Linked DNA regions of Drosophila melanogaster. The protein of the gene in region 2 interacts with the protein of the main gene of each other region in a pairwise test. Each region holds a gene or a part of one and is shown on either strand. Other genes may lie near its edges.

What was found.
Region 1: the proteins of Pkcdelta (region 2) and robl interact in a two-hybrid assay, tested with the Drosophila melanogaster proteins (one large-scale study listed by BioGRID).

The regions. Positions count from the first base shown.
Region 1 is NT_033778.4:17,454,742-17,458,279, reverse strand, and holds robl (roadblock), read right to left. Parts: upstream 1,809-3,538; 5' UTR 1,710-1,808; coding exon 1,707-1,709; intron 1,644-1,706; coding exon 1,565-1,643; intron 1,497-1,564; coding exon 1,285-1,496; 3' UTR 1,151-1,284; downstream 1-1,150. Other genes in the region: robls54B (roadblock similar 54B), read left to right, coding at 2,119-2,142, 2,202-2,516; CG10764 (uncharacterized protein), read right to left, coding at 2,656-3,032, 3,091-3,227, 3,323-3,371, 3,448-3,538.
Region 2 is NC_004354.4:12,438,765-12,445,052, reverse strand, and holds the start of Pkcdelta (protein kinase C delta), read right to left. Parts: upstream 3,570-6,288; 5' UTR 3,517-3,569; intron 2,047-3,516; 5' UTR 1,856-2,046; coding exon 1-1,855.

The DNA of each region.
Region 1 (3,538 bases), on a different chromosome or scaffold from region 2:
CGCGTTGGAAATGAAATGAAATTGCGAACAACGAAACGGTGCGATGACGATCCGATACGAAGTGCTTCATTTTATTTAGTTAATTCTTAGCACATATGTATAGACAGATATATATGCACCGACGACTATATACACTCGACTTTGCCCGTGTGTGTGTGTGTATCGTTTTCATTTTCACGGAACAAATATGGCTGCAGCACATTTTTTTTACGTTTTTTATTCACTTTTTTCACGTTCATATAGCTCGTTTTTTCACCCAAAGTAATGCTGACTGGCCGATTGAGGGTTCGTGGATTTGGATTCCGTTTGCGTTGCGTTTGCTGGCTGCCTTTTGGGTTTCGAAGTGCGTGATTACGCCATTTTCTTTACTCGTTCGCTTTTCGCTGCACGCCCATCTTTCGAATTACCTTTTTTCAATACGATTTGATCGATCGGTGGATCTCTTAACTCGCTGCACACGCGTACACTGGGTCGAAACGGTGGCTGATTGGGCTCTCCAATCAATTTATTGACTATTCCGTTGAGGGGTTTTCTTTAAATGCAAGTACGCAAAACTCACGGGTTTTCACCGACACACGAATCCGTCTTCCTCGACTTTGCATCAGTGTGACCGTGGCGTGCAACGACGATGGCCAAACATCGATAGTCTGGGACTTTGCTACTATCGAAGTTATTTTATACATATTCGATACCTTCTGTCCCTGCATATGGTTTTTAAAGGATATAATTACCACACCGTTGTAATTATTGTAATCTTTCCAATTATGTACAAGCCGTGGTAGTCTTTAATTGCCAACATAACATAAATGTTCACCTAATAGCAACGGAAACAATTTCAAAGGTAACAAGAGAATACATATCTCTCGCTTCGAAAGTATTCGATAAATACGTCGGTGAAGCGGATGCTTAAACCAACTACCCAAACATCAAACAACTTCAATAATTATAATAATATTATAATAATTAATTGTTCGTGTTAGAATTAGCGTTAAAATAAATTTATCTTTTGGAGTCATTTGTTTCAATTAGAGAACGCATATTTCAGTTTTTGAAAATAAAGAATGAATGCCCCTATCAATAGTTATAGCGGACTAACAGCTGAAAACACCTGAAGTTTACAGAGCCCAAAATGTTTACGTGATGTCATTTTATGCATAAATATATTTATTGTATGGAGTACAATTTCATTACATTATAATTTAACTTTCCATTTATACGCTGATGATTAGAATACAGATATAAATGTGCAGATAATTCAGCAATAGTCGCGATGCACCATGCCATTTAGTCGGTTGGGTTTTGGATGACAATCAGGATGAAGTCCTTGTCGGGTGCCACCATGATCTCGTGCTTCTTGGATCGCACCCGCAGGAATGTCATGTCGTTGGAAGGATCCAAGTCCCTCACCACACTTCGTGCCTTGTCCGCCAGCTGACTCATTAGGCCAGCGTACTGAACGGTGGTAGTGTTGTCCAGCGTGGATTTGACCGGAATACCTATTTGGGAGGCGTTGAGAATTAGTTAGATATCTTAGCACACACTGGGGTGCAGTTGAACCACCCACCTTCATTGTTGACCACAATTGTACCCACAACACCTTTGTGGCTCTGGATTCTCTTGAGTGTTTCCTCAACCTCCTGCGACTGTAAGCCATGAAGGTAACGTTATTTTCTTAATGTTTTTGTGTATGCACAACTCTTACTTACCATTTTTTCTTATAATTTTGTTGGAAACACGGCAGACACTACCGCTACCTGCAGTTCAATGAAATAGTAAACTTTGTTTGTTCAATATTAGAGATGCACTGTCAGTGATGGCACATTGTTCATTGTTAATTTAACAGATTTCCACATAAGTTAACAGAAAATATCGATATGAAGTTTTCAATGAGAAAAAAATTTGCAACGGTAATTATCAAAATATTTGTGATTGAATAATTTAATAAGTTTATTATTTACTAACAATACATTAATAACAACTACACAGAATTGTTTAATCTGGCATATTGACCCATATAGCAACACGCACCTTGGAAACCAAGAAAACAAAAAAAATTAGGTTAAAAATTCACGAAACCGTTACTACGAAGTTCAAGGTGTTTCAAAGCAGACGAGAAATATGTTTCCGGATCTTCCACAAAAGGTAAAATATTTCCATATTGAATGTAATTATATTTATTTATAGGTTACATCATTAAATAGCCACCTCGAACTCTACGATATGTGGAAAAAGCATTCGACCTGGTCAAATCGAAAAAACATGTTCGAGATGTAGTGATCCTCAACGAGTCGGGACATCCGGTGATGAGTACGATGGACCGAGAGGATGCTGTCCAATTTTCGGGACCTTTTCAGGCTATTCGAGGAAGACTGGAACGCGGTATGAGTAAAATAGATCCCACGGACGAACTACTAATGCTGAGAATACGCACAAGAACCAACGAGGTGCTCCTGGTGCCAGACTCCAAGATAACACTACTCGTAGTACAGAACGCGCATGATTACTTCGAAAAATGATTAAATATTTTAGATTTCTCAAAGACAATTTCTTATTCGTTAGCGTATGTTACTTTATTATTAAAACATGTACCAATCACTCGTATGTCAGTAATTGGTATTTACACGTGCTTTTACATTTTTAAGGCATTTAAATATTTTAAGATGACGTATTTAACGAATATAGCAAGGAAAGAATCCAATCCGTGTGCCTCATAACATTCGTAAAAACGAGTATGTTTTTCGATGAAAAACTGAAAATGCCCACCAAAATGTAGCGTATCTGGCCATTGGCATTCATCCCTCCAACCACTATGTAGCTACGTTTCTGGCGGGGATTACTTGTGTCGGATGGATCTACCATGCACACTTGATTTTCGTTGATTTGAAATCCGAGATGTTTCGCGCATTGGCTCCCTTCCATTAGCCTGACGTCGAATTGTTCAGCTAAATCTGTATCAATTATTTTCAATTCTCGAGCCTTTTCGGCGTTTTGCTGGTATATTTGCGTTGTCAAAATGCAGATGGGTTTCATTGCTGTAAAAGAATATAACTGTAAATCGAGGCAATTGCTATGATAGTAGGTATGTTCTACCTGTGCTGCTTATTGATCGAACAAGTTTGAGTACTGCTATGTCATTTCGGTAATCATTCGTAGTAAAATTTGGGTGCTTTGAAACCGATTCAATTTGGTTGATTGCGCTTATTCCTTCGAGCACTACGAACACGTATCTGAATAATTAATTTAAAATGGTATCAAAATAAACTAGTAACTAATGTGAAAAATAGCAGTTAATGCACAAGGGATAATCCTTCGAACAACTTACAAATAGGCGGCAACTGTGGGCAGGTCTGTGGCAGCAGCGATGATCAATTCTAAGAAAAGAAACTCAATCTTGTTAAATTTATACTCATTTAATTGTGGAATTCTCGAGTGAAAGAGTATACTTACGATCTGTTATTAATACGCCAACGGCATAAGAACCAGGCCAATAAATTCTTAGCTGCGCGATCGGTGCCGCGATATCCTGACTGCAGCTATT
Region 2 (6,288 bases):
ACCAAAAGTCCTCGCCGCTCTCCGATTTCTGTATAGCCTTACGAATGGGCTTGGGCGTAGCCACGCCCTCGACTTTGGCCTCGGTTTTAGGTAGTTCCGGTTGCTGCTGCTGCTGCTGCACTTGTTGCTGCTGTTGTATGGCTGCCTCATCAAAGGTGAAAATCTGTGCCTCATTAACATGTTGCTGCTTATTTACTTTCTTCAAAGGCGATGTCTTGGTTGTTTTGGGCGCAGCTTTCATGAATCCTTCGGGCAAAGACGAATCATCCTGATCCTTGGGCACTGTCTTTTTCTTGGGCAGCTTGAATATCTTGTGTATCTGATGATGCTCCTCCACAGTCTCTACATTAACGGTGAATTTCGGTTTCGGACTGGGAGTTGGAGTGGAACTCGAACCGGAACCGGAAGTCAATGGTTGTATTAATAGGGACTCCTCATTCAACTCCAAAACACTAGGCATATGCTCTACTGGCTGAGCTTGGGGAGCATTTTCCACCTCAACAATGGCGGTGATCTTATGGCGCATCTTTTTACTCTTCTTGGACCGCCTTTTCGATCTCTCCTTCAGATCTTCATCGTTAGTGGTGGTACTATCGTGACTGGATCTACGTTCCAGGTGGATCAACTGAAAGCTGCCGGAGTTTGACTTCTGCAACTTATTTAAGATTTCCTGTTCTTGCTCCTGAATAATAGAGGCCCTACGTCTGAGTTCTCCGGCATTCAGATCATCATCAATTTTATCGGATGAAATATCCTCGCAAATGTCATGAAATGTTGGACATTGGACCAAACTCAAACGACGAATGGTCTCCTGCATTTCCTCCAATTCCTGTTCCTGTTTATCGGACTCATCCTCCTTTTCGTCATCCACTTCCTTTTTGGCACTTATCTCCACTTCCGGAGTCAAAGTTTTATGAGCACTTTGTGGTTGAACAAGCTCTTGGATTTGGGCTCTATTGAAATTGGTTAGTTCCTCCTTCTCATCTTTTATATAGAATCTCTCGCGAAGCAATTCGCCGGGTGACTTTTTATTGCTGGTTACTGGAAAGGCTGCCAATTCTTCGGCCAACTTTTGACGCCAACTCAAACTGGGCTCGGTGGCAGGTGGCAGATCCCTGAATTGATGCTCCTGCACTTGCTCCTTCTTGGGACTCTCGGCACTGCGATCCTTGCTGCGTCTTCGTATGGTGGATAATCTAACCACCGGACGATTTCTTCTAATGGTTGACCTACGATTGGGTCTGGTTTCGGCACTTGCATCTGAACTTTCGCATGGTGTTTCCTTGGGAGAAGGCTTAACCTCCTCCTCCGCCTGCTCCTTCTGTTCCTTTTGCTTCACCTCCTCCTTGGGCTGCTCCTTTTCCTGCGACTTGGATGGCACTGCCCTGCGATATCGCGAGGAGCTCACATCGATATCCGCCGTATTGATGGCAATGGGTCTGGCTGGTATGTACCGACTACTGGCGCCCGATGAACCATAACTCGGTGTGGTCACCGAGCTGCTGTATTTCGGTGAGTTAATCCTGGTCAGAGGCATTAGGCTGCTATGACCACTGTGCCGACCCGTTTCCGTAATCGTGGTCAGTTTGGGTTGATATCTGGAGCCCAGGCCATGGAGGGAGCTACTGCCGCCGGAGCTGCCACTGGAATAACTGCTCGGTGATCTCGGCGAGGAGGGACTCAGGGGTACCATATAGCTGGCCGGATATGAGCGATTGTAGCTAGATGTATAGCTCGATCCTGGTGAGGATCCCATGCCCAAGTTGAGACCCAAGCCGGAACTATAGTACGGCGAATACAGCTGACTGCTGCCGCCACTATAGTAGTAGTTGGTTGAATCCGAATACAGAGGCATTTTGCAGCAGTCACTCACTCAAACAAACAAACAAAATAAACAAAAAAAAAAAAAAACAAAAAATCACAATACACGAAGAAAACCTTCGGTTTGAATTTTTGGTTTGCTTATTTTCCGGCGCTTTTCCGCTGCTTTTAGCTTAATTGTTTCCTTCGGTTCGTTTAGGCTCTCATATTTTAATCGTAATTACGCTGTATTCGGATGTACACATAAATATCTTTATCTAAATGGCACAGTCATCGCTAGTTTTGACTTTAATGGCGAACTACTTCACTACAAGTTAATAAAAATAATTTGCAAACAAATTTTATAACATTATTAAATTATTGAAATATTTTAGTGTAATGTAAAAGTCAAAATTGATTACAAAATATATGATTTGACTTAAGTAAACTACTTGGAAGCACACTGTACTTCCTCATTCGGCCATTTGTGTATCATTAACTAAATAAACCGATTCGATTGCCGATCTGTTCATTTCCAATTCGATTTCCGGCTAAGCCAATTCGATGTCAATAACTCAATTTAATGGCCATTGCGGCCTTTAACAAGACTAATCCCACATTCAATTGGGCAAGATGATAAATTTAGATTGCGAACGGACAGAGATTCGACCATAAATTCGTTGGCACTTCAGTTTATTCAGTTTATTCTTCACAGGTTAACGCTTGCTTGAAATATGTATTTTTGGGGCTGTCGTTCATGTATTTGCATATGTATCTATCCCTTCGACGCTGCCGCAGTTTAATTATACAATTTTTAAAGATTTCAAACCGGCTGTCATAATGTGCCAGCATTTGGCAATACCGAAGTCACATTAATTATTGCCTAATTGGCCCAAAGGTTTAATGCCGCCTGATCGAAGACAAAACGAAATCAGCCAACTTTCTTACAGATTTCCGTGTACTTTTTTAGGCATTTAAATACGGGTAATATGCTAAAATATTATAAAACCTGTTTCTAAAGATATTTTTTAAAATTGAAAATGTTTGGTAATTTATCTTAACTTTGTAAAAATAAATTTTCGATTACTATTTAAGGAATTCTTTGTAACATACTACTAAGTTTGAATCATCTAAATTTTGGTAGAAAATCTAAATGTATATTAAAGAGATTGATAGCCATTTTTATTCATTTGAAAAATGAAAGCTATCCGATTTGTTTATGCGACTCAATAAACAATGCGTTTCCAGTGAAGTTTTATGCTAAAGTGCTAGATTTTTAAATACCGAATAATGGCCATTAGATATGGATTTGAAAATTGAAATGTCATTGGCTGAAGGTCAGCTGGAATCGATGGCTTTTCAATTATTTCAATTGACTTCTTTTTTCGCTCGATACATAATATGTTTATTATTGGCTTTCGTCTTTAGCCCACATGTGCCATATAGATATAGATATATAATCCGATGTATGAGATAAATTTTTTCGCATGACGTAAGCGCTCACGAGTCGTTGTCTGCGATTTTCCTCAGCTATTTTCCACGCATAAATTGCTGACAATTTTTTTCGTTGTTGCTTCTATGTTGTACCGTAATATAATTATTTCGTTTTTTATTAGCCACTTCAAACACAAGGTGCGGGAATTTTAAAAAATTTTTTTTTTTTGGTACATTCGAATGCTCTTTTGAGCAATGATTATTTTTTGTTATGATTTTTACCGTCAGCGCGACACAGGAAAAAATTCAAAGGAGCTAACTCGACGAGGCGAACGCAATAACGGAAACTACTGAAATGTGAAAGGCAGCGCAGAATATTTTCAATTCCGATTTCTGAACTCACAAGCACACACGCACACACACACACACACATACGTGTCGATGATTTTCACGGGAAAATTCGAAGTCCATCTGTGTGAGAGAGAGGCTAACTTGGCAGCAATACTGCTGTATCTTGTATCTGTATCTTGTGTTCATCTGCATCTGTATCCGTGTTGAGGCACAGGCCCAGATCATCATTTTCCTCTTCTTTCAATTATCTCTACGTGTCTGCCAATTTCGAAATATGCCCCCTCACAATTTTCAACACAACCAAACGAAATTTCTAGTGTGCCATAAATTTCACACGAAGGCGAGCGGTTTTTCGAATTTCGAAAAAGCATCAAAAACATTTTTGACGTCTTTTGAAAATGCTTTTCCTCGTTTTTGCACAGCGAAAGTAAAAGCGAAAACTGCGAAAGAGCGAAGAACTCATATGGGAGATTCTTCAGAAGAATTGAGCGAAGAAGAGAGTCCATAAAGTATGCGGAACAATTAACTAAAATAGGTATAGCAACATATATCGCAATTGTTTATTACAAGCAAATAGGACCTGGCATTTCAGACTTTTTACTAGATAATGTAACATTCAAAGATACAAAGATACTTTCACCATTTCGGGTATTCGAAAACATAGTTAAAAGCACAACCCTTCAACAATAGAAAATCAATAGCAATTAAAGTAAAATTTAAGCAACATCACTACTATTGTTTTAACTTGCAAAAAAATTAAACTAACAACGAGAAAAAAAACGATCTCAATTCAAAGTAGCGATAGAAATAGACATGGGCTGAAAAAGAGAACAAGCTATGTGGGATTGCTGTCATAAAATGTGTGACCAATTAATTGTCACTAAAATGTGTATAAGCCATAAATTAAACGAATTAGGCAAGTGTAATCAAACATCAAAGTGTTCATCTATGCGATGTACAGTGAAATGGCAATTTCAACAAATTGAGATATTGTTTCAATATGAAGTTACCAAAATATCTAACAAAAATAAAAGACTGCAATGTAAACTTAGTTGAAATCATCTTTAAATCAATAAAATTAAAAACAATAATGCCTTAATAACCCTATTTTTATTAGAAAACTGCCAATTTTATAAGGATTGAGCTAAAGATTTTGTATCTTTTTTTTGAATTGAAAATCCAATGATGGCAAATATCGTTGTACATGTTCGGCAGCATGGGATTATGGCAAAAGTGGCTAGGAGCCTTTTGGGCCATCATCAATCTGCCTGTTGGTAGCACCTGCTATCGAGATGTTTGGCTAAATTTGTCCATCCACCCCTCCCCCCCCCCCCCCCCCGCAAATAGATCGCGAGGAAATCGAAAACAAATGCCAGAAATGCCGCACGTAGGATGTATCTCACATGAGATGTACTACCCGTAGCACTCGGAATCGTACATGCGATGCTAATGGTGACGCTTTTCGGTTCCGCAAAGTACATTTATAGATCGCCGAGCAAGAGGAAGAGTCAGTTGGAAAGCGCCAAACAACTAGAAATAGAACTGCAACATGCTCTTCTTTCTTATTTGCCGTTTTTTTTTGTTTTATTTATCCTCTGCCTCAGTACTTAATCTTTGCGATTTATAGTGAGTATATATATATATATATATTTTTGCACTGCATTCCTGTCCCGCCAGTTGCAAAAGTGCATATCCATGGGCTTACTCTTTCACTTAAAAAAACATATTCGCTTTCATATCCAGTTAATGGGTTATTAAGTTTTAATACCTCTTAAAACGAAACCACTTGGAACATTTACAAAAAAAAATCCTTTTATATGTTTTAAAATGCTTCTGTACTAAGCACTTTCCAAATGCTAAACTAAGTGCATTCTGATTGCCTTTCAGGCTTTTACTTAAGATATATGAACGGAAATAAATATAAATATAAATAAAATAATAAACTGATAATATCTAAAGGTTATGCTATATCTTGTTGAAGTATGCAGTTCAGGATAAATAATAATAAATAATAATTTATTTATCTATCGATGATTTGCAAAAATAAGAACTCAAAACATGTGCAATATTTTCACCGATAAATAAAATAAATAAAAAAATAATAAATAAACAAATTTAGTTGTAAGTGATATAAAAGTTTCCAAAACTATATAACTGGTATTACCGAATATTTGTTCCTTTTAAGACTTAGGGCTATGCCATAAAAATTAATAGGTATCCTGCCAGTCGAATATCACGGAATTTGTTCTGCCTGCGTTGTATTTTCGTCTTGTTCGGTACGCCATGTTTTTTCCCCCCCCCCCTTTTTTTCGCATGTCTTGTGTTGGCAAAGTCGCAATAAATTGATTTCTAATGCAGTCTGGCTATCTGTCTAACCATCTATTATATATAGCGATTTCAGCTTAATCTGGCTTTCGCATTATTTCCGCTTTGATCGTACACACATCGAGTGAAAGTATTTATTCCTTTGTTCGGCGAATAAAAAGACCAAATGTATTGCACAATTTCATGCACCTGCATAATGAATGGCCCTCGTTTCGGTTTGAAAAATTACGACACAATTGGAGAAAATTGCATATAACTTAAGTGGGTTTGCTTTTCATTGCACTTCCAGCAGTGCAGAAATTTCATAAATGTACAATGTGTAATGCGTACAACGATATTACTCATACGCAGTGTTGGCATAAAAATGGTTCTTAAAAG